Oryzias latipes: one gene and its partner. The protein of the gene in region 1 purifies or fractionates together with the protein of each later gene. This does not show direct contact. Links are inferred from orthologs where the notes say so. Each region holds a gene or a part of one and is shown in the gene's direction. Other genes may lie near its edges.

Region 1 (11,608 bases):
CTTGAGATATTTTACAGAATATATCTTACATGAATAAACACAACATATACAAGCACAGTTCTTTTTTTTCTTGATTTTTTTTTTTTTAAAGTGTCATGTGGGAAGGTTATTTTGTAGAAATTGAGTTCTGCATAAATGATGGCACATTATCTGCAGACTGTCGAATCCTCTAACCAATCAACAGAAAAACTTAACGAAAAGTTCTTCAAAGTTCTGTGCAAAGAACGGTTCCACCTCGGTCGGTTCTGCAGCTGAAGTTTAGGGGAGATGAAGGGGAGGGGGGGCAACGGGTTCTGCTTTATTGATCCAACACTCGACTTGGCGACCCGGAGAAAAGAAGGACCCAACCTCATCTGAGAGTGGAATAGATCAACAGGAAATGGACCTGCTCCCTCGTTTAGCCCCGCCCCCCTTCATTTGGACAGACGCTTTGGTCCGTTCCAGGAAAACAACTTTTTTTGTTTTGAATAGATGGAAAGATCAGAAGCATGCCGCTCTGGTATGCTTCTGATCGGTTTCTTTTTACGGTTTCTGTAACCGCACTTACCCAGAATGCCATCTGACATATTTCCTCTATGAGACAATTTTAAAAAACATTTTGGGGAGGAAGAAGCTCCTAAAAACCATTTTCCTGCAAAAGCACATCATTCCAGCAAGGTTGATAAAATAAAAATTTAAAACACGAAAGCGAAATGGTTGCCGGTAAAAATCTTAGAGTGTCCTCCGACGGCAGAGCCACAGGTTCGAGTCCTCGGTCTGTCCGCCTCCCCGACCGCACACATGGAAGCCCTGATTGAGTCCTTTTGCTTTTTTGATTCAGATGGTTTGAAACTTAACAGAAATACATACATACATACAAAACCAAATGATAAAAAACATGAATAAAAGGGGAAAAAAAAGAAGAAAAAAAAACATCAGAAATTGTGGCTTTAATGATTCCAAAGTCCGCCGGTCTGTTCTTGATAAACTTCGATGACGTCCTCATCCTCCATGCCCAGCTATAAAAAAACAGAAGAAAACACAAACCTTAGTGACCACTAGTGCTTGGTTTTCGCTCTTGCGAGTGTCGCTTACCTCTTTTGGGGTTTGGTTATCTGCGATTCTCTGTCCCTCAAAAAGAAACCGTAGCGTGCTCGCCAGGACTCCCTGAAAGAAACGTCATCCTCTGCTGTTAGACCATTAGGAGATTTTTATTTTTCCTTCAATCAGCTCTCCTTGAACGCCGCCGCGAGGCGCTAGGAGCACGAGTAACGATTACATAGACGAGCTTTTAGGTGTAACCCTTATGCTATCTTAGATGACCCCACCCTTACATTGACGTGTTCTCCCTACCATGACAAAAGTGGAAAGATTTCATGTAATCCATGGACACCAGTGAAGATCACAAATCATTGAAGAAGAAAGGTTAAGCGCACTGTCTAGTGGGTCTAGATGACCCAACTCCTAATGTTAAAGGGCCTAGGATAGCACAAGGGTTAAAGAAAATTAAGCTTAAAATTACATTTAAAATTGGGTTATTTTTTTTTTATATTTAAAATCGTTGTGAATCAGGAGCAGACAAAATTAAACTTAGTTGGAAAAAGGTTGCAGGTATGATTCCAAAGCTACTACGGCAAGCCACAAGGCTCCCTTGCAGACAAATAGACTCGTGTAACTTTTTTTTATTTTCCTCGTCCGAGCATCCGGATCCAAACTGTGCAGCTGGATAGCTCCGATATTGCTCGCCATTTTTGTTGCACTGCTAATATTAGCTTGGGAGTCTTAGTAAGCTAGCGGGAGAGCGTGTCAAAAAAATAAATAAAAATCACTAGGAACTTTTTATTTTTTGCAATAGATCAAAAGATGATCAGAGTTATCTTTTTTTTAAATAATGGCGTGTTCTACCATAAGGAACTGCATTTGGATGGATCTGCGAAGGCTGTCATTGGAAAAGTGGCGATGCGTCTTCCTCTTCATACCTGTCTCTGGCTGTAAGACTCTTTCAGCTTCTTTAGATGTGTGGTCATTTTCACCTTGAAGTGGATTTCACTGCTGTCCTGTGGGCAGAAACGGACACACACAAAAAGGTGATGCAGCTCAAAAACAATAACAACTTCCAGCATTAAAACGAATACATCTGTAAATGATAAAGAATTGGCAGAATCATTGACCAAAAATAATAGCCTTCTATAAACAATAATAGAGACACCACCACGTGCCATAACTTTATTTGAAATGGAGTAGAATACGGTTTATTTCTAAATGCAGACAGTAGTGACAACAAAAGCAGAGACACAAAAACAACCTACCTGACCGATCACTTTTAGTTTGATGTACTCTCCATCTTTCTTGTCGCCTCCGTCCTGATTGGAAGGTTTCGTCTCCTGACAGAAACATCACAAAACATTGCTACATGATGCGACCGCTAGCACGCTTTCGAGGAAGGCCCGTCTGTTTACTCCGCGGGTTCCACGAACACAGAGAACATCCACCATAGACACGAGTGTGGGTTCGGTCCCGCCAGCACCAGTTCTGACCCCCCCCCCAAAAAAAAATCTCAAAAAACTACACAAAAGCTCACGTGGAGGGTAAAAAAAAATCGCTAAGTTCAGTCAGAGGCCTGCAGCTAGAACAGCTAACGGTTAGCATGTTGTTAGATAATCACGTACGAGGCAGCGTCCATAACAAACACATTATCGATTTCTTAGTAAAGTGTTGACAGAAAATCATTCGAACTCTTCAACGTTCTTTTTCTTACCGTGTCTGACATGTTTATCCTGACTGTGTGCGGGAGGGGGAGGGAATCCCTTCAAGGTGTAGCGTTAGCTTTTAGCGGTGGCTCTTGCTTTATGTTGTGAGGAATGCGACATCAAACGGAAGTGACGCAGGGCTGTTCAAAATAAAAGTCGCGTGAAGGAATTTGTTTTGTAGCGGATTGTCTCCATAAGAAAAGCGCGCGCGCGCACACACACACACACACTCATACAAAAACCTTGCCTTTTCCAGTATTATGAAGTCTTTACTCCTGTTCAATATTCAAATGCAATATATATGTTTAGATTAAATTTATATATTTTTAACATGGGCTTAAAAAATAGCATTTTATGATAATTTAATAAATAACTATATATATATAGAGAGAGAGAGAGAGAGAGAGAGAGAGAGAGAGAGAGAGAGAGAGAGAGAGAGAGAGAGAGAGAGAGAGAGAGGATGAAACAGTCGACAGCCGACAGTGTGCTCAGTGAATGTCTCAGGCAATGGAGAGCAGAGGATACAGTGCTGGAGGACAGATCCTCATGGGAAGACAAACCCCTGCATGGGACGTACCACCGGACCATAACTGAAGTGGCTGATATCAAGAAGTCCTACCAATGGCTAGAGAGGGCTGGCCTACAGGACAGCACTGATGCGCTCCTCCTGGCAGCTCAGGAACAAGCCCTGAGCACCAGAGCAATAGAGGCTCAGATCTACCACACCAGACAAGACCCAAGGTGTAGGCTGTGCAAATAAGCGCCTGAAACAATCCAGCACATAACTGCAGGGTGTAAGATGCTGGCAGGGAAAGCATACATGGAGCACCACAATCAAGCAGCTGGAATAATATACAGGAACATGTGTGCAGAATATGGACTGGAAACCCCAAGGTCAAAATGGGAAACACCTCCGAAGGTGGTAGAGAATGAGAGGGCAAAAATCCTGTGGGACTTCCAGATCCAGACTGATAGGATGGTAATGGCGAACCAACCAGACATTGTAGTGGTGGATAAAGAACAGAGGAAAGCCGTTGTGGTGGATGTGGCAGTGCCAAGCGATGGGAACATCAGGAAGAAGGAACATGAGAAACTGGAGAAATACCAGGGACTCAGAGAAGAACTGGAGAAAGCATGGAAAGTGAATGTGACAGTGGTGCCTGTGGTAATTGGAGCACTCGGGGCAGTAACCCCCAAGCTGGAGGAGTGGCTACAACAGATCCCTGGAAAGACCTCAGACCTCTCAGTCCAGAAAAGCGCAGTGCTAGGAACAGCTAAGATACTGCAGGACCCTCAAGCTCCCAGGCCTCTGGTAGAGGACCCGAGCTTGGAGGAGAAACCACCCGCGGAGGGTGAGAGAGGCGTTTTTTAAATGTATATATAGTTTTCGTGTTTGTTTTTATATTATTTATTTATTTTGTATTGGTGCAAAGCACGTTCGGTTGTGCTTTTGTAGGAAAAGAGCTATATAAATAAAGTTTGATTTGATGTAATCTTCAATATTCTAACTTTGAAGAATCATAGTTTATTAGAGACTTTTCACATGTTGATAATTAATATAATGTCAATTAAAATACTCTTGTTGTTTTAGATTTTTACAAGGCATTTTTAAGCCCCCCCCCCCCCCCATCACTCTGGAATGGCAGAGTTTATAGTAGACATTCTTTAAAAAAAAACAAAACAAATTTAGAAGTCGAGGATCCCACATCTATTGAAGTTTGTTTAAATGCAGTCTTAATTCCGTTGAGGTTTTGTCAAAGTAAAATAAATAAGCCAATGTTTATTAGGAAACCCACTTTAAGCTTTTACTTTTGTAGGTGCACTGAAGTACTTCCGGTTATAAGGAATTGTGTTTTCTCATGAAGCTTGATTTAACTCCAGGGTCAACGGCGAGCCGAGCCACTGTTAACCAAGGTGTAAAGTGCAACGAAATGAGAGGTGTCGATTAAATTGGCCCTTCAGTCGCGCACAGACACGGAAAGGCGTTCCTGGACGACCGTGTCGTCTTGGTCACAGACGCGGAAAGTGCGGGATAAACCGACGGCCGTCGGGCCTCGTCGTCGTGGCCCAGCGGGACTCGGGGTGAAGTTAAGAGCGGACTGCCAAACTTCTGCTTCCTCCCAGCGACTCTCCGCAGGGCCCGGGGCTCCTGTCACCGGCCGTGTGGATGAGTAGTTGGACCGCGGTGCAAACAACCCACAGGTGAGACTATATGACAGATGAATGTCGCTTGAAATGACTCGGTGGTTGGCTCTGTTGTGTTTTGTTAACGCCAGTGTTGACCCGACGAGTTTCGATGATCTCTGCGGCTAGCTGTTAGCATTAGCTTGACAACAACTTCCCTGGCCTGACAGCTACTGGTTCTACACGCAGCCGCTGCGCTTCCTCCATCGGGTTCACGCATGCTGTTGTTGTGTTTGCATGTCCAAACGAAAGCAAATCGCAAAGGGTGCGCTGTCACAGCGCAATGAAATGTCAAAATAAAGCTAGCAACAGTTGTTAGCTTCCGGGACAATTCAAGCTAACTTGGAAATTCACAGCTAGCTTGTTATCCAGTAAAAACAGCCGCAGTTTCGGTGTTTCTGGTTTTAGCTTTGCCCCAATAAATAGATGTTGATCACAAGTTTCTTAGCAGTGTTTACACCATGTTAGCTGAGCTTTAACGCTATGCTTAATGTCACGAAATTAAACTCTTTCCTTTGATGTTTAGCTAAGGAATGCTGCATGTTGTTGCCATGGTGTTAGCACAGCCATAGCACGAGTTTCCCCTTATAACAGCAGAGAGGGTTGATGATAAAACCAGTTATTATTCGCAGTGTTTACATGACATCTGTTATGTCAAGCCATACAAACACGCGTTCGGTTAGCTAGCATGATGCTTATTCTTATTTTTTCCTGTTTAAAATAACTTTATTGCTCAGACCAACAAAATGACAAAAGATGGTCAGGTGTTTTTTTTCTGGGTTATGTGGTAGTTCCTTAAGTTAAATGAATTGTGAAATGTGACGAAAAGCTATGAATGAGGTGATCATCTTATATCAACCAAACTGGGGTCAAAAGAGAACCAGTCTGGCAGATATTTGGGTAAGCTCAGTCTTGTTGCCGTGGAAACGCTGACAGTAAAGTTAACTTTAGCCATGTGAACTTGCCCTTTGTGTTGGATTGCCATGGGGAGGATGTTGACTTCATCACATGGAGTTTAAGGGGAAAAAATAAAAAAAAGAGTAGGAGAAATAGAAGATTGCAATAAATAACTTTATTCTATGCAGAGAATTCTATCTATAAAATGTCCTTCAGTGGTCCTGTAGTGACTTATGCTGTGTCTGAATTCCCACCCTAACCCCTACATAGTGCGTTCGCCCTTTTGTAGTGCTGTCCGGATCTACAATTCCAAAATCGAGTGCCCCCAGAGATTTCCCAGAAGTCTCTGTGAAAAACCAGTGTGCATCGATGCTCATTAGATCGGTGAATATAGACCACAATGCATTCCATCGGAACAATTTTTGCCCCAAAAAAATGTAATTAAATGTTTTTATTTTAAATAAATCATCAACCTTTTATCTTCGGAAGACAGTGGACTCATAAATAATCGTCGTAAAGCGCTCATATCAATTAGATTTTGACTTTGTGAAATCGATTATGTCATGTCTGCCGTTAAAAAATAAAAAAGTTTTGAGCATGGTGTTCGAATTACTTTTAAAATTCAGGGCGCTACATAGTGCCGCACTATATAGTTTGTTAGTAGTTAGGGAGGGAATTCGGACACAAGCTTAGTAAACCTTACTAAATGCTTTACAAAACACGTTTATGGGGATGTAGATACTTCTATCTTTAAAAAAAAATTGCAAAATGCAACATTTTGAAATAATCAAATGTGTAGATAAAAAAATGGTATTTGAACATGTGACTTTTACTGCCCGCGTATTAAATCAGTCCAATTTTTTCCCCCAAAACTTCACTTTATTTAATCCAGATTATTTGTTTATCAGATGATCTATTTCAAAACAAAGTTTTGATTCTTTTTCATTTTATTTTTTTAATCAGAACGATATACAGATTTTAGGCTGAACAAAGAGGAATTTTTCATTATTAAAATCTTTTATTTTTGACGTTTTTGTTTTTCATTTCTTTCATGAAGGCACCAAATACACAAAATTACAGATTAATCACAGATTGCAAAGTATTACAACTAGCATTAGCATTATTTGTGGACTGTAAACATTTACAAAATGAACAAATTCTTTTTCATCTGAAAATGAAGCACAATTAAAAAAAATATTAATCAGTCAAAATGATGAATGACCGAATAATTTATCCAAAAAGAATTAATTAATTAATAATAATTTTGGAAACAGTCGTTCTTTTGTTTATTTTTTTTAATGAAAAACTATTAGTTCTTTATATTTTGGACGGTAAAAGGAGAAGAAAGTTTTTTGTCCGTATTTGTTCATCCCATTTTATTCAAAAATGTTTTGTTTTGGTACGTTTAATTTGAGCTAAACATGAATACAGCAGTTTCATCTGTATAGCGGCGTTCACCGTTCTGTTTTAAATAAAGCTACTTAAATACCACAACAGCATTTGCGAGCATTTACAGATGTTTTAGATCCAAATCTGCTCATCAGTCGGAAGATAACCGTCTTTTAACTTGTGAAGCTTCACGCCGGGACTTCTGCTCCGCTGTTGCAGGAGGAAGGAATCCCTTTGATGGGAGAGTCCTCTTTCCTGGCCTCCTGGGTCAGCCGCCGTGCCATGATGATGGGTATGTATGCACTTTGTTGGCAGCGGGCTGTCGAGATCCTTTAGCCACTGTGTTTTGTTTTTTCAATTCCAGGTTTTGGCTTGTGACCTTTAGAAGCAGAGAGCATTCACCTCCGGCTGTCTGTTTGTTCCACTGTTCCCCCCACCATCTTTGATGGTAATTGGAGGTTCTGTCGTCCCACAGATGAGCAGGAGGCCCTGAACTCGATCATGCAGGACTTGGCCGAACTGCACCGCTCCAGCCGCCCCGCCACATTCCTGTCGGAGTTGGGAAAACCCAAAACTTCTTCACCCAAGAACCAGGTGAGCGCCGGACCCCTCTGAGGTGGTTTTTTTCTGAACTTTTACTGAAGTTAGGAGTTGCTGAGTTTCATTCCATTCTCCTCAGAACGATGTGAGGGTGAAGTTTGAATTCAGAGGGGAGAAGAGGTGAGACCCTTCCTTTTTGGTCCAAACATGGTCCGAACGGCACAGCCACCTCCTGACCTCTCGTCTCCTCCGCAGGATCCTGCAGTTTCCTCGACCCGTCAAGCTGGACGACCTGAAGGCGAAGGCAAAAGTGGCCTTCGGTCAGGCGATGGGCCTCCATTACTCTAACAACGAGGTACAGATCCGGAGGCCGAAGCGCAGAGGTGGCCCGGAGCAATCGCAGCGCCACACCCACGCCGTCTTTGCTCTTCCCTCCCACAGTTACTGATCCCGCTGGTGACCCAGGATGACCTGGACAAGGCCGTGGAGCTGCTGGATCGCAGCGTCCACATGAAGAGCCTGAAGATCCTCCTAGTAGTCCAGATGTCCTCGCAGGTCTGTTTGCTCCTTCTAGCAAGGGAGCAACTATTTTGAAAAAAAAACCTAGATGACGTACAATGAAAGAGACATTTTGATGTATGATAAGATTCTCACACTTAATGAAAAAGTTCCCAGAACAATAATGACTCATTAACTGTAAATGTGTGCCTTAATATCCACCACATCCTCATGTCCTTCGCTATCAAAGCTCAGACTGATGCCATAATCCCCTCATGATAACCTAAATAGTTTTTTGACTGTTGGAAGCACTCGCAGGTACGGAACTTGTCGAAGCAGCATTCGTGCTGAGAGCGCCTGGACGGTTTCTGTCCCCCTCCCGATGGAAGTGAGCGATGATTGGGTTGAGTTTGAAGATTTCAGCAACAAACGGTTAATTTAAAAAGAAAATGTTTCCTTAAAATAGTCAGGAAAATTCCTACCTGTGAGTATATAAAGCTGTTCATTTAGTCAGCAATATATGTTTAAGGTCGACCGAGCGTTAGCATTAGCCGTCCTATGGGGAATTCCATTATACGTTAGCATCAAGCTAGCAAATTTTGGCTTTGCTGCTGTCATGCGATTTCAACTTTTATGGATTAATTGATCAACCAACCCAGCCCTTCGTGATATGATTTCAAATGTTTATTGTGTTTCTAAATAATCCATTTTGGTAATTTTGGCATGATTGTTGTTTAAAGCCAATAAGAACATCAACATTGAGAAAGCCCAAATGCTTCCAAACATTAGCTTTAAGCCAGTCGGACCACCCAGTTTGCAGGGGGTCTTTGTTTGTCTGGCTTATCTGTTTTTGTTTTCTTTCCAGAACTCCCCCGCCTCCAACATGGACCTCCTTCCATCCCACGAGGAGCTGGATAACAGGGGCTTTGGGGTTGCGGACAAAAAGAGCATGCTGTCTCTGATTGGTCAGTCAGGTGATTTCCTTTTGTCTCCTTTATCAGCTAAAGGCGGCCAGCTTATGACCTCCAAGAAAAGTGAATGTAGATTAGAGATGGATGGATGAAAAGTCTGTGACTGTCGGATGCAGCACGGTTCCATCCCATTACTAACCCATAGAGTTCAATATGATGTTGGTCCATCTTTTGCACCTATTACAGTAGAATAATTAAATGAGTCTTAAGATAGATCCCTGGGGAACTCCTGACTGAGGTGAAGCCCCAGTTGAGTCTGAGAAACGTCAACAAGTCACAGCGAGGAGAACCGCTCCATGGAAAAATGGACGTGCAAAGCGACACAACCAATCGCCGCTCACCTGAGTTTCTCTTCCAACCGCAGGGTCCCTCTCGACCGACCGAAGCTCCCCTCCCCCAGGATACATTCCCGATCCTCTCCCACAGGTGGCACGAAACGGCTCCTTCACCAGCATCAACAGCGAGGGGGAGTTCATTCCTGAGAGTATGGATCCGGTATGGACTCTGCCTTAAACTTGGTTCTAATATTATTTCACATTTCCAACAAAAAGAAAAATGCACAACAACGTAGTGCGGAAACATTTTGGAATCCAGTTTGGATGCTATGCTCCTAATTTGTGAGGTTTTGGGAGTAAAATTATGGTTTTAGCTGTTGGAGTTAACTCAAAGTGATGTTTTGTTTTTGTTTTTTCTGTGAGGCATCAGAACGGCTGCCAGGTGCACGCATTACCCCAAAATAAATATTCATAGAACGTCTACAAGTTCAGAGTTCACCAGATGGTCGTTTGAAGTCTGAAAACTTCAAACAAATATGTCCAACTTTTTTAAGCTCTTCATTATTTTGCCTTCAGATGTTCGATCCCTTATCCATGAGCAGTCCGGAGAATTCCGCGTCAGGAAGCTGTCCGTCTTTAGACAGCCCGCTGGACGGGTGAGTGGCTCCACATTCCAGCTCAAGGCCTGGTGTGAAGCCTTAAAACCGACACACAGTAACTTTTCCTTTCGGTGTGTTGCAGGGAATACCCAAAGTCCAGGATGCCTCGAGCTCAGAGTTACCCGGACAACCACCAGGACTTCCCAGGTAAACCCTGAAACAGCTTTTGATCTCAAAGATTAAGAAAGGTTTTGTTTTGCTTTAGTCTTGGCTCCACCTCTGTGATAACTGTGCCGCTGTTTTCCCCCGCAGAGTCCGACCTTCCCGTGTTTGAGAAGTCCGGGAAAGGAGGGACGTATCCACGGAGATACGGCATTCCTTACGGCCTTCAGGATTACAGCGATGGTGGGGTGTTTTTCCTTCGCTCCTGTTCGTAACAGAGAGGAGACCGAAACGAATAATTCAGAGTATCTTGTTTGGCTTTCAGGGCGGAAGACCTTTCCGCGAGCTCGGCGGACGCAGGTCCACAACTTTCGCTCGCCCGTTAGCTTCAGTCCCACAGAGCAGTCCCCCAGCACCAGCAGCGGCAGCAGCGTCTTCACCCCCGACCTGGAGGAGGCCCCCGGCCCTGCCAGGAGGCGGAGAGGCAGCGACATCGAGTCGAACGCCAACCCCTCAGCCGGCCCCACCCTCTCCGTCATGGACATCAGCCCGCCCAGTCGCTGTAAGTGGACCGAGCGCGCCCCGCCCACCTGTAGCTCAGTGGTTAACCTGCCGTGTGCTTGCAGCTCCGCGTGCTCCCACCAACTGGCGTCTGGGGAAGCTGCTAGGTCAGGGGGCGTTTGGGCGGGTGTACCTGTGCTACGACGCAGACACTGGGCGGGAGTTGGCGGTCAAACAAGTCCAGTTTGACCCGGAGAGTCCGGAGACCAGCAAGGTGCATGGTTGTTGTTGTTTTTTTTTAGTGGAGGAGCGAGGGGTAGTATGCGTCGCAATTTCAAGCTTTTGATTGGCTCGTTCAGGAGGTGAGCGCGTTGGAGTGCGAGATCCAGCTCCTGAAGAACCTGTGCCACGAGCGGATCGTCCAGTACTACGGCTGCCTGCGGGACACCATGGAGCGGACGCTCTCCATCTTCATGGAGCACATGCCTGGAGTAAGCATCTGCCAACCCCTCCCCCAAATATCGATTTGAAGTCCTTGTCCACCCTGACCGTCAACTTCCTGTCTCAGGGTTCCATCAAAGACCAGCTGAAGTCGTACGGAGCTCTGACGGAAAACGTAACGCGCCGATACACCCGGCAAATCTTGGAGGGTGTGTCGTACCTGCACAGCAACATGATCGTGCATCGGGACATCAAAGGTGAGAAGGGGGAGGGGGGGTTGCTGGCGGGGCGCGGCAGAACTTTAGCGGGTGTCCTCTGGCTCCAGGGGCCAACATCTTGCGGGATTCCGTGGGTAACGTGAAGCTGGGAGACTTTGGCGCCAGCAGGCGGCTGCAGACCATCTGCCTGTCCGGGACAGGCAT
Region 2 (11,798 bases), on another chromosome or scaffold:
CCATCATTGATGTTAGCGGCTGGAACCTGGGATGAGCAGCCAAACTTTAAAATTCAGCTGGAAGAGAATCCTGTGAGAACTCGACCATCTTCAGACAGAGCTCTCACATCCTAAAAGTCCACGCCGATCCTCTTCGGTTCTATTTTCAACGTTTTTTCACTTTTCACTCTGATTATGCCGTTTTTAGCCAAAATCCCAAAAAGCTGTTGCTTGGTGTAGCTGCATTAGGCTGTGAGTGAGTCTGCCGAGCTGAGGTCGGATCCAGTGAACTCGGCGTTCAGGTGAACGTGCAGGTCTTCTTCAGCTCCCCTCATTTCCTGCTGGTGTTTTGCAGACATGTTGGATGAGAACCAGAGCAAACTGAGCGAAGACCTGATGGAGTTTCGCCGCGACGCCTCCATGCTCAACGTAAGTGAACGCTGACCAGGAGGAGCGCGTGAAACGGGAAAGGCGGGGGGCGCTTTCGTGATGCTGAAACTAAAGGCTCATGTGGTTGTAACTCCTGCAGGACGAGCTGTCCCACATCAACGCCAGACTCAACATGGGGATCCTGGGATGTGAGTTCCTGTCTGGTCTCCTGTCTGGTGCTTCCACACCTGGATTCAGTTCAGTTTGCAGCATTTGTTGAAATGTTTGTGTGCAGCTTATGATCCACAGCAGATCTTCAAGTGTAAGGGGACCTTTGTGGGCCACCAGGGGCCCGTCTGGTGTCTGTGCGTCTACTCCACCGGAGACCTGCTGTTTTCAGGCTCCTCTGATAAGACAATTAAGGTAACCCCCCCCCAAACAAAAGATTGTTTTATGCAGTTATTTTAAACTTTTGGTGCTTTTTCACAAACAACCAGAGTTTACTGTCTAAAGATGGACACACACACGCATGCAGACTCACACACACACACAAACTTGCACATGTACCCCTCGCACACACACACACACACACACTCACATACAAAACTCAAAAAACTCATGCACACACACATTTACAAGCTTAAAAACTCATGCACACATGTGCATAAATACATGCACACACTTACACATGAACACATCCACATGCACACACGTCCACATGCACACACTTACACATTCACATATGCACACATGTACACTCAAGCACATGCTCACACCCGCTTGCACACGTGCCCCCCACACACAAACGCATGCACACACATACACATGCGCACACACGTATGCAGACTTGCATGCACAGAAACACACACAGGAAAACGCACAAACACGTGAACATACACAAACACACATGCGCATGCGTACACATGCTAACGCTTATACACACATGCATTCAGGCACATGATTTTTTTTTTCTATATTATTTTTTACATTTTTTTCAGTTTTTCATTTATAGTATTTACATATTACAATATAAACAAACAAACAATAAAAAAAAAAGAACAGGCGGAAACGTATGAAGCTTGTTAGACGCCTATCCTCCAATATGCTTCAATGTCCATGCTGATCGTTTTAACAAACCAGATACAAACAAATCAAAACAATCCATTCAATGTATTGTTTGTTTGCTGTCAGGTGTGGGACACGTGCACCACCTACAAGTGTCAGAAAACCCTGGAGGGACACGACGGCATCGTTTTGGCTCTGTGCATCCAGGGGTAACTCCACAGAAACCACAACTTTAAAGAATAAAAAAACAACCATCCCCCCAGACGTTGACCCCACTGTCTCTCTGTTTCCATAGCAACAGGCTGTACAGCGGCTCTGCGGACTGCACCATCATTGTAAGTCGTCCCGCCGCGTCGCCTCTTCCCTTTGACGTGAGCGGCTGGGCTGACGGGGGCGGCGTCTTTCTGTGTTTTACGCCTGCAGGTGTGGGACATCCAGACTCTGCAGAAAGTCAACACCATCCGCGCCCACGACAACCCCGTGTGCACGCTGGTCTCCTCCCACAACATGCTGTTCAGCGGCTCCCTTAAAGCCATCAAGGTGCGTCTGCTGTCGTCATCAGCGCAAAGGTTTGGGGAGGAGAGGATGATGGGAGAAAGTCTGAAGATAAACAGCATCAGAGGTTCCGTCTGCATCCCTGCTTCATAGTTCTGAGTCAGCGCTCTCTCCCAACTCCTCGCCGGCCTCCGGCGTTGTCCCGGTTCCTCCTCGGCTCTGTCGCAGATGGTCGCAGACTAATGGAAGGTAAACAGCTGGACTGTTGTCATGTGTTTAAGGTTTGGGACATCGTGGGGACGGAGCTGAAACTCAAGAAGGAGCTGACCGGTCTCAATCACTGGGTCCGAGCGCTGGTGGCCTCCCAGAACCACCTGTACAGCGGCTCCTACCAAACCATCAAGGTATGAGGGGGAAGTTATTTATTTCACCTCTTCTTTTAAAAAAAAAGTGTTTTAATACCCAGCATGCAACATGACTGTTGAATGTTTATAATCCTTCCTGCAATTTAGAAAGAGCTTTGGAGCAAATGCTGTTAGACACACAGGAGGGGTTAGTTTCTGCATCCCAGAAAGCATGAAGGTCAGTACCTGCTGCAGGTACAAGTCACAGAAGACGGACCAAACATCCCTGGGATATCCGTCACAGGAAAAAAAAAGGAAGAGGAAAAGCAAAACATGGAACAGAAGAAGTAGAATTCTGGGATAGATCCTGTTGTTCCTGCTGTCTGAACTAGCTGAGAACATTTTCCCATGATCCTCTTCTTCCACACAGGCGAAGGTTCCAGATCCTCCGTCGTTTGTCTGTTTGGCACAGAGAGAAGATCTGTTCTGTTATTTTTCTGTAAACGATCCTGAATCCCTGAGGATCGTTGATCTGTGCAAATACAGAAATAATCCTTTTGAGAAGAAAAAGTCCAATTCTTCAGAAGGATTTAGGAAATGAAGTGTAAGCTATGGTGAAAGCTGCCACATAGCTGACATCGGTCCATTTCCTCACCAGATCAGTCTATTTAAAGCAATCCAAAAAAAAAAAAAACTAGCAAATGTCGACACGTTTTTTTTTTACTCTGATCTAAATAGAAACCTGTTCTGTTAACATTATTCATGTTTGCCTTCATTCGTCTCATTTTCAGTCTGTTTAATCAAATTTGTCATAGATTAAGTTACGTTATTTTTATTGTTGATTCCTCGGCTGCTTTTATTTTGACGCGGTCGCTGGTATATACATTAGCGGCGGTGGCGGCTAACAAACGTCTCCCCCCGTCTGTCAGATTTGGGACATCCGCTCCTTGGAGTGCGTCCACGTCCTGCAGACCAGCGGGGGCAGCGTCTACTCCATCGCCGTCACCAACCACCACATCGTCTGCGGCACCTATGAGAACCTGATCCACGTAAGAGCGCCCCCTGTCTGTTCGCTGGGTCAACGCTCAGTTCTGCTGCTCCCCTTGAGCAAGGCACTGTGTTTGAACCTGAGCAGCCTCCGCGTACGAAGTGAAGACGCTCCCTCCAGGCAGGTGACGCTCATGTATTTCCTCTGCAGGTGTGGGACATTGAGTCCAAAGAGCAGGTGCGGACCCTGACGGGCCACGTGGGCACCGTCTACGCGCTGGCCGTCATCTCCACGCCGGACCAGACCAAAGTGTTCAGCGCCTCCTACGACCGCTCCCTCAGGGTGAGAGTCGCTGACGCAGAGGCCCGGGCCAGCATTCTGAAAACAGCATTTGGGCGGGGCAAAGCAAAGTTTGACCCGTTGGTTCACCCATTGGACAGCCCACCTGTCAATCAAAACAACCTCCACACCCCTAAAAATGATCACAAAAGAGCTCCAGGAAGTTTGGGCTTCTGGACTTTCATATTCACCAACGCTCCATATGTTTGTGTTTCTGTCCGCCACATTATCCAGAACCGCAGGAGAGGTTCTGGATAATGCCTGCCCCCCCCCCAATTGATGACATCACAGCGGGAGAAACTGTCAAAAAGATGAATGCGGTCAAGCTCTCTTCTGGAGCGGTCTTTCCTTTCTACCTCGTAGTTCATCTTTCCCAGTTTAGCTCGTTCTTTTAGAGCGATGATACTGCTTTTTTTAAACAGCGCACCCTGTTCTGTGTCCTGATTGGCTGGAGACCCTGTCAATCAATCTCCTCCGTCTGTCCTGTACAGAAACGTGGAGCTCTTCAGATCTACAGAAATCTGTGATGGATCAGATCTTTGTTTTCATTCTAAGTTCCTGGACTTAATTTCTATGAAGGTTTGAGAATTTAAACAAGAGAAAAGGGTGAAAATGTTCATGTCTGTCTGAGAAAAGTGTAGAAAGTGAGTAGTGAGGAGTTTCACTGCCATAAACGTCTGTAATCATTCTCTCTGGATTTCACCCATAACTGGTTCTTTTTGGAACGTAACTCCTGCAACAAACGAGGGAACTCTATACTGATGAAAAGGCAACGCAGATATATGCGTAGCTGCAGCAGAAGACACAGAAATGAGCTTTTTCGTGGTTACTGGATGAGAAACAGACGTGCAGGACACAGCTGCTCAGTTTTATTGCAAACTGTGAGACATGTGAGGAGCTGCAGCTTCAACGTCTCAGCGAGAAAATGACGACAGAGGATCCACTATTTACTATTATTATTTTTACTGTATCAGTAGATGTTTTCTTTTTTGTCTTTGAAAATCACAGAGAGAGTTATTTGGTCATTTTTTATTTCATAAATAGTGTTATTTATTCTATTTAAAGGATCATGAATGAATCAAACTTTATTATAGGGCTTTACAATGAAAGACAGACAAAAGAAGTTAAAAGAAAAACAGTTATTGTGGCCTCACAAGAAAAAGTTTGGGGCCTCCGCTCTAGCATCCATGCTGTGTTGGAAGATTTGTTCTTTTTCATTCTTCTGATCATTAAAACACCACCTGAACGCAGCATTTCTCTACGTTTTACATGAGGTTCATCAAGCCGTTGGTGCCATTGCCTTTAAAATGAGAACAAAAGTTTTAACCTAAAAACTCTAAAATGTTTGGTTTTAAAATATAATTTTCCATCCAAATGTTTTCATCCAGATTCCATGTTATTTCTTTCTCACTCCACTCTTCTGCTCCTGGTTCGGCCCTTCTGTCCAATTTTAGAACTTTGTAACCCGCCAGTCAAAATAATTGCCCACCCCTGCCTTAGGGTGACCAAAGTGTAAAATGGTTGCTATGGAGATAAAACCAACGGGAGAGCTGCTATTTTGAAAAAAGTGTTTCATCTCCTAAACCCGTTTTGTCCCTTTTGGGGTCACCGGGCTGCCGGAGCCCATCCCTGCCACCCGTGGGGGAGGGGACATCCTGGTCAGGTCACCAGGGTGAAAAAAAGTTATTTTTTTTGTTTTTTATGAATTTCTCTTGTGCAGCTTGGACCAGGGTGGCCGGGGCACAGAGGGGAGAGAGGGCGGGTCAAAAGGGGGTGGCGAGGGCAGGCCATACCATCTGTCCACTACTGAGGAGGAGATCAAAAGTGGAATCTGTTTGCTTCCTGAAAAAGCCTCTTGTTTTGTTCTGTTCTTCAGGTGTGGAGCATGGACAACATGATCTGCACCCAGACCCTGCTGAGACACCAGGGCAGTGTGACGGCGCTGGCCGTGTCCAGAGGACGCCTCTTCTCTGGAGCCGTTGACAGCACCGTCAAGGTTGGGGGGGCCGCCGCCCACCACCGTCAGCCGATGGAGCTGCTTCTGCGTCAGTCATGTGACCGTGTCTCCTCTCCGTTCCAGGTGTGGACCTGCTGAAGAGGCTCAGCGGGCGTCAGGCCGACTCGGGCGCTCTGAAGCCGTCGGCGTGGCCGTGACTCTGCAGACGACGCCTGGAGCACTGAGCTCAGTGATGGAAAGGTTGTCGCTTTGACACCACATGTTTGTTCTTTTATAGTTTTGCAGATATCAGTGTTGTGATTCTCCTCTGAGCTTTTAACACTCGCGCTTTGTCGTGTCCTCGGCGTTACGTCTTTTCTAAAAACTCCTCGGAGAAGCCGCTAAACCTCTGCAGTGGCGGTTCCACTGAGCTCCACCCAGAGCCGTCAAACGGTTGTAACCTTGTGTATAAAAGTTTCCACGCTCCGCCCCCCCTCCTCACTCCCCGGACAGGAAGCTGGGCGGCGCTCCTGACCCGTCTCTGAGGGGAAACGACCAATTGGTTCACTCCAGGGTTCTGAACCCGACAAACAGCTAAAGCGAAAACGGTCCCCGCAAAGTCCTCCGCCGGTTTCTGGACCCATATTGGGTTGAAAATATGAACAAATTTCTGAGGAAGCGTAAGAAGACTGAAGATCTTCATGGTGTTAATCGTTTTGGCTGAACCAGGTTTTTTACTGTTTCTTTTTTTAAAACCCAGTTCACAGGAAGAACAGGGAAAGAAAACGATGAAGAGTTACACCCCACCTAAACTTTCAGTAACATCTTATATACTTGTAGTAATTTAAGATGCAGTTGGTCCTTGATCAATAAAAATGTTGTACACTTTGTTGTGTGTGTGAGTGTGTGAGTGTGTGTCAGCTGAAAACTTGTCCTTTCCAGCAGCTGAGCAAACAGATGGAGCTGATAGCCTCACGTGTTGGACACATTTTACTTTAACAGCAGGGGTTCTGAATATTTGGACACACTAGGTGTATATTTGAATAAACCCCTTTTGTAGTTTAGACTAAACTTTGTTCATCTTGCTCATATTTGCAGCAATGTTTTTGTTGGATTAGAGGGAAAAGTAAAGGTGGGAAGAAGAGAGAGAGAGATGGGGGGGGGGGGTGCGCGGTAGAACTGTGAAGCAGCATAAAGTAACAAGTTGCTGTATGTTTATAATCAAATCTAAAAGGGGCGGAGCCTGTCCACACACACACTCAAATGTAACAAACATACCTGTTGGCTCCAAAAATGTTCACATACAAACATGTACACAATACAGCCAATGTTCACACGCATACGTATGCCCACAGACCAACACGTGAAATGTTTCATTCAGTCACGCAAACCACCTGTGCAATGGGGAGACGGCTCCTGTGCTCGAGAGTTTCTGTTCTTCTAAGGAGAGTGCCCGGTCGGTCATCCCCACACCAAGACCCCCGCCGCGGCAGCCAGGACCCCCCCAACACCCACAATCGCATCTGCCAGCAGGACCACCGCACGGGCCCCCAAACCCAGAGAGCAGGGAGTCACAGGGGGACGGAGAGTCCAGGCCCCTGCCGCGTTGGGAGGGCCCCAACGCTGGGCCCCGCCCTAGGAGAGCACCCCATCACCACCCAGTAGTTCTTTATAAATTCACCTGTGAGTTGTAAAAGGACTGTTGGCGTGGAGCAAGCCCGCCCATACTTCCCAACATCCATCTATTAAACTCTGCCGCTAGCTCACAGACCCTAACACCCTCAAACTAACATTACCAAGGCAACAAAAATGGCGATCAATATCGTAGTTATTGTCATGTTGTTGCTCTCAACCCTTGTGCTATCCTAGGCACTTTAACATTGGGAGTTGGGTCATCAAGACCCACTAGACGGGACCCGCTAAAACCCTACACAACCACCCTGGACCCGCTAAAACCCCAAACAACTGCCCTGGACCCATTACAACCCCAGCTATTGGGCCTGCCCCTCATTAGGTCCCCCAACTTGGGGTTTAACCCGTAACACGTCTGATACCACATTTATCCAGCTGCACATGCAGTTTAGATCCTGATTCCAGCTCTGACAAGGAAAACAAAGACTTTTATGGATCCGTTCTTAGAGAGTTCGTGATCAGAATAGAGCTTGTGGCCTAGTTTCTACATCACAAATACAATCTTTTTAAACGGTATTTTTTCATCTCTAATTTACTTACCACCATCATCAGAAAAAGATGTTTAAAACACTTGAAACCCAGTTCTCATCAGAGCGGGTCTTTAAATGCCATATAATATCTTAAGAACGGACAAAAGACTTTAGTTTAGCAGATTGTTCTCATGTTTTAATCTGGGCCTAATCTACATAATCCACTGATCATTTTAATTACCAGAGCATCTGAATTTAGGTGTGGGTTAAAGCTCATCTCTTTGTGAAAAAACACAATTACAAGCATGTTTGCTATACATAACATGCAAATTCCCAAAGGAAAAAATAGAATCAATATGAATAAGTATTCTTTTCTACTCCTTTGAAGGGAATACAAATGTGAATGCAATAAGTCTCGTTGTTGGAGTGGAACTTCTCGTTTGCCTCCAATCAATCCTGATTTCCATTAAACCAACTCCACGAGGTCGAGATTCATTTTACTCACTGGCCTAAAGAACTTCAACTGAAAACGGCTCAAGACAAAACGTCCCAAATCATCTCCACCATTTTCAGATAAACTATAGGGTTTAAAATGAGCATCATAAGAGCAAGGCTCAATGGTAGAAGTAAGAAAAGCTGTTTGCAGTTGTTGCGTCATCTCAGTAAAGATGATGACCATTTGGTCTTCATCACCAGTGGTCTTTTGTTTATGATTATGCCGTTTTGGGGAAATTCTTTTTTTTTAAGTGTCGTTTTCTAGAACCTAGTGTCTGCAGAGCGACAGGAGTTCATTAGAAATGTATCTCTGAGTTGTGGGCGGGGTTGCTGGGCATGAAAATTTTCTTTCCTATCCCACTCATGTCAATATTTGTTGTTGTATAAATTATGAGTCATATTATTCACTAAAAGCTGATAAAATAACCCCAGAATGAAGAAATGGAGAACTATAGTCTACATTTGACCATTTTCCACATACTTCCCCTCGTAAAGCCTCTATACCTTGAAAAGCCTTTAACCAATTACAGACATCAGCTTCCTGCTGACTCTGGGCTCGCTTCTGCCTAATTCGGATTTTACTCTGTTCATTTCACGTAGTTGAAATGATTTGACTGTAGTGTGTTAAATAGTAGAAAGATGGACTGTATACAGTACTGAGGCCCTACGTCAGTCCAAAGCTTTTGCCTTTTCTCATCATGTTTGCTAAACCTGTTTTGGCAGCCATGTTTTAACCTCCATGACGTCAAAATCTCTGATAAGACAAGAAGGTAATTTGTGGAAAAAAATGCTAGTCGGTACACACTAGATATGAATTTGTGCGCACCAAATGCTAATTTCTTTGCACGAAATGCTAACTTTTACTCCAAGATGGTAATTTGTGCTCACAAAAAGCTAATTAGTGCAACAAAATGCTAATTTGTTTGCACAGAATGCTAATTTGTACGTGCAAGATAGCAATTTGTGCACACAAACTGCTAACTTTTACTCCGACGTAGTAATTTGTGAATACAAAATGCTAATTGGTTTTCACAAAATGCTAATTTATTCTCACAAAATGTTAAATTTTACTTACAAAATAGTCATTTGTGCTCACAGAATGCAACTTGTGCACACAAGTTACTATTTTATGTGCACAAGATAGTAACTAGTATTTTGTATGCACAAAATGCAAATAAAATGCTTATCTGTGGCCTCAAAATATTAATAGTAGCACAAGGTAACATATTGTGGGCACGAGATACTAACTACTTTACACAAATTAGCATTTTGTGGCCATAAATTAGTAATCTTTGGAAACAATGTCATGTCCAGGGCTCTGCAGTTTCTAAAAATTCTGTATTTCCATATATATTCCTCCAAGTCTGCCAGTGGGGCGCCAACATGACTGAAAGCCAAAAACTACATCGAGTTGGACCACAAAAGAGAAAATGAAGGATCCGCCATTTTTGTTCATACCCATCTACTGTATTGAAGTCAGGCCAAAATCACAAAGCAAGGCACATTTTAAAGAAAAGAATTCAAACAATACAAAAAAATGCATTAGAGTGAACAAGTTTTACACATTGCCACACCTGGACACATGTAGGCAGAGAAATAAATATGAAAAAAAAAAAAGAAATTACACAATGAAATATTCCATGATGGTATCCTACAATGACTCTTTAGCTTAGACCACTTAAGCAGGAGAAGCAACTGATTCAACACCTAGATTAGATCTGTTTACCTTGAAAAATACTCTTCAGGATAACAAACACATCATAAATACACTTCCTATTTTTACTTTTGGCAAATATCCATATATATAGAATCTCTATGTGATCAGAATTTAAATACCAAAGCTCTGAATTATTATTTATTGATAAATATGTGGCGTTTGGCTGCAAATGAGACTGTGAAACCCTTTATTTTCTGAACGGGTTGAGAAGCTAATTAAATACAGGAACATTACACCAACTTATCATTTAGTACACGAAACAAAGCAAACAACACCAGGCTTCACAGATCTCCATGACTGATAACTCCATCCCAACTTTCCCCTTTCTCCTTTTTACGTGGCAGTGGCAAACGTTCGTGGAGACGTCCTGCGGTTGCCACGGTGATGCTGATGAGAGTGGTGATAGATTGTCATGACAAAACAGGGGGGCGAGTGCGACTTCAATCCCTTTTTTCTCAAAACTGCATGTGCTGTTGAAACCTCCTGAGCTTTATGCCGATCCGACTTGAGAGTCTGACTTTCCAAAGTTTTATTGTGCGACACGCCAAATCTAAAAGCATCAAAAAACGGACAGAATAGTGGCATAAACCTGAGTCATTCCTGGTGCAGGAGGTTGACGTTGAATGATCTTCAAAATGACTGTTACTAAACCTTTAGAAACACAGATTAAGACGAGAGGCAGAGCTAATCTGACAGATTATCAAATGGGGTTTAACTCAACAAAACCTAAATGTTGATTATGAAGGGAGGTATCAAGGTCATAAACATTAGGGATGCCACAGTTCTTGGTTTAAAACTGAGTCGTACGTTGATCCATTGAACCGAACAGTGGTGAAAGTCAACCGTTGCAGACCTCCCGCCTACCGCCTCCTGTGTTGTGCTAAATGTATTATTGATTGTTTTTTTGCATTACGTCAGGCCCTCGTAAAGATGTTTCTTCTTTATTACTTGCTTATTAGCAAATTAAAAATGTCGGAATTTTACTTTTTGTAAAACACAAATCGTACATCAAAACTAAACAGAATGGATGTTTGAACAGAATTGTTAAGAAAGTGGCATCCCTAAAAAAACATGGATCCCAGGATCAAGCATGGCGGTAGAAGCATCATGTTTGCCCTGATGCTCATTAAGTCACCTACACATCTTTTGACCCACTAAACACAAAACAGTGTTTTTGATTAACGCTCACTGTTATTTTAGAGTATAGAGAGTAAAATACTAATATGAATGCGTGACCAAATTCATAGTTTTCCTCTTGCTGATGAAAATCTAGAATTCGTAGACATGTAAAGGTGAAATCGTCTTTGCTAGCTTTTAATCTATTTTCCATCATCCTGCGAAAGAAACAGATGAATGCTGACGTCTGCTAACTTTGCATGTTCAGGGTTTACTAACTTCATTCAGGATCATGGAAGGTAGGTGAACATGTGACCAAACACGGACATGCTCCACAGCACGCAGCTGCTCTTCCCTGGGAATCAAACGGTAGAAAAATGCTGACATTTTTACTGGGATGGACGTAAAAACTGCGTCTGGAACATGACGCTAGGCCTTCATTGCTCTGTCAGGAGAGTCGGAACCGGACCTGATCCTGAATCCGTCCGTGGGGGTTTGTCCGTCGCATCTCTGGATGTGCATGTCTGGAGCTGCTTGACCTCATGATGGGAAGTGTCAGATATGATAAAGGTAAAGCTGAAGCCCTTCAGGAAACAATGACACATTTAAAAACCGACTTTTGTTGTTTCTCTAAAGAGAATCTGTCTGATGTGCAAGAAGAAACAGTTTCTTCTCTTTAACTGCTCGTGTGTGCAAACGTGGAATCCTTCAAAGACATAACTGAAATATTTCTTATTTTCCATCATTAATTTACTGTTGAGATAAAAACTGGACCCTTTTTTCAAAAAAAACA

Evidence for each region.
Region 2: the proteins of map3k2 (region 1) and traf7 purify together in Homo sapiens (affinity purification with mass spectrometry; 3 studies listed by BioGRID and IntAct, with this or other methods). This does not show direct contact. The link is inferred for Oryzias latipes from reciprocal best matches to the Homo sapiens genes MAP3K2 and TRAF7.

The regions. Positions count from the first base shown.
Region 1 is NC_019860.2:9,899,344-9,910,951, forward strand, and holds the start of map3k2 (mitogen-activated protein kinase kinase kinase 2), read left to right. Parts: upstream 1-4,575; 5' UTR 4,576-4,931; intron 4,932-7,418; 5' UTR 7,419-7,436; coding exon 7,437-7,491; intron 7,492-7,674; coding exon 7,675-7,793; intron 7,794-7,878; coding exon 7,879-7,919; intron 7,920-7,994; coding exon 7,995-8,094; intron 8,095-8,180; coding exon 8,181-8,294; intron 8,295-9,102; coding exon 9,103-9,211; intron 9,212-9,572; coding exon 9,573-9,703; intron 9,704-10,059; coding exon 10,060-10,139; intron 10,140-10,224; coding exon 10,225-10,289; intron 10,290-10,394; coding exon 10,395-10,487; intron 10,488-10,569; coding exon 10,570-10,806; intron 10,807-10,870; coding exon 10,871-11,019; intron 11,020-11,104; coding exon 11,105-11,236; intron 11,237-11,313; coding exon 11,314-11,443; intron 11,444-11,511; coding exon 11,512-11,608. Other genes in the region: sumo1 (small ubiquitin-related modifier 1), read right to left, coding at 930-998, 1,075-1,146, 1,959-2,036, 2,289-2,363, 2,738-2,749. UniProt on the Homo sapiens protein: Component of a protein kinase signal transduction cascade. Regulates the JNK and ERK5 pathways by phosphorylating and activating MAP2K5 and MAP2K7. Plays a role in caveolae kiss-and-run dynamics.
Region 2 is NC_019866.2:23,013,403-23,025,200, forward strand, and holds the end of traf7 (E3 ubiquitin-protein ligase TRAF7), read left to right. Parts: intron 1-334; coding exon 335-408; intron 409-508; coding exon 509-557; intron 558-643; coding exon 644-771; intron 772-1,539; coding exon 1,540-1,622; intron 1,623-1,708; coding exon 1,709-1,748; intron 1,749-1,836; coding exon 1,837-1,953; intron 1,954-2,189; coding exon 2,190-2,312; intron 2,313-3,181; coding exon 3,182-3,301; intron 3,302-3,450; coding exon 3,451-3,582; intron 3,583-5,455; coding exon 5,456-5,575; intron 5,576-5,659; coding exon 5,660-5,674; 3' UTR 5,675-6,403; downstream 6,404-11,798. UniProt on the Homo sapiens protein: E3 ubiquitin and SUMO-protein ligase that plays a role in different biological processes such as innate immunity, inflammation or apoptosis. Potentiates MAP3K3-mediated activation of JUN/AP1 and DDIT3 transcriptional regulators.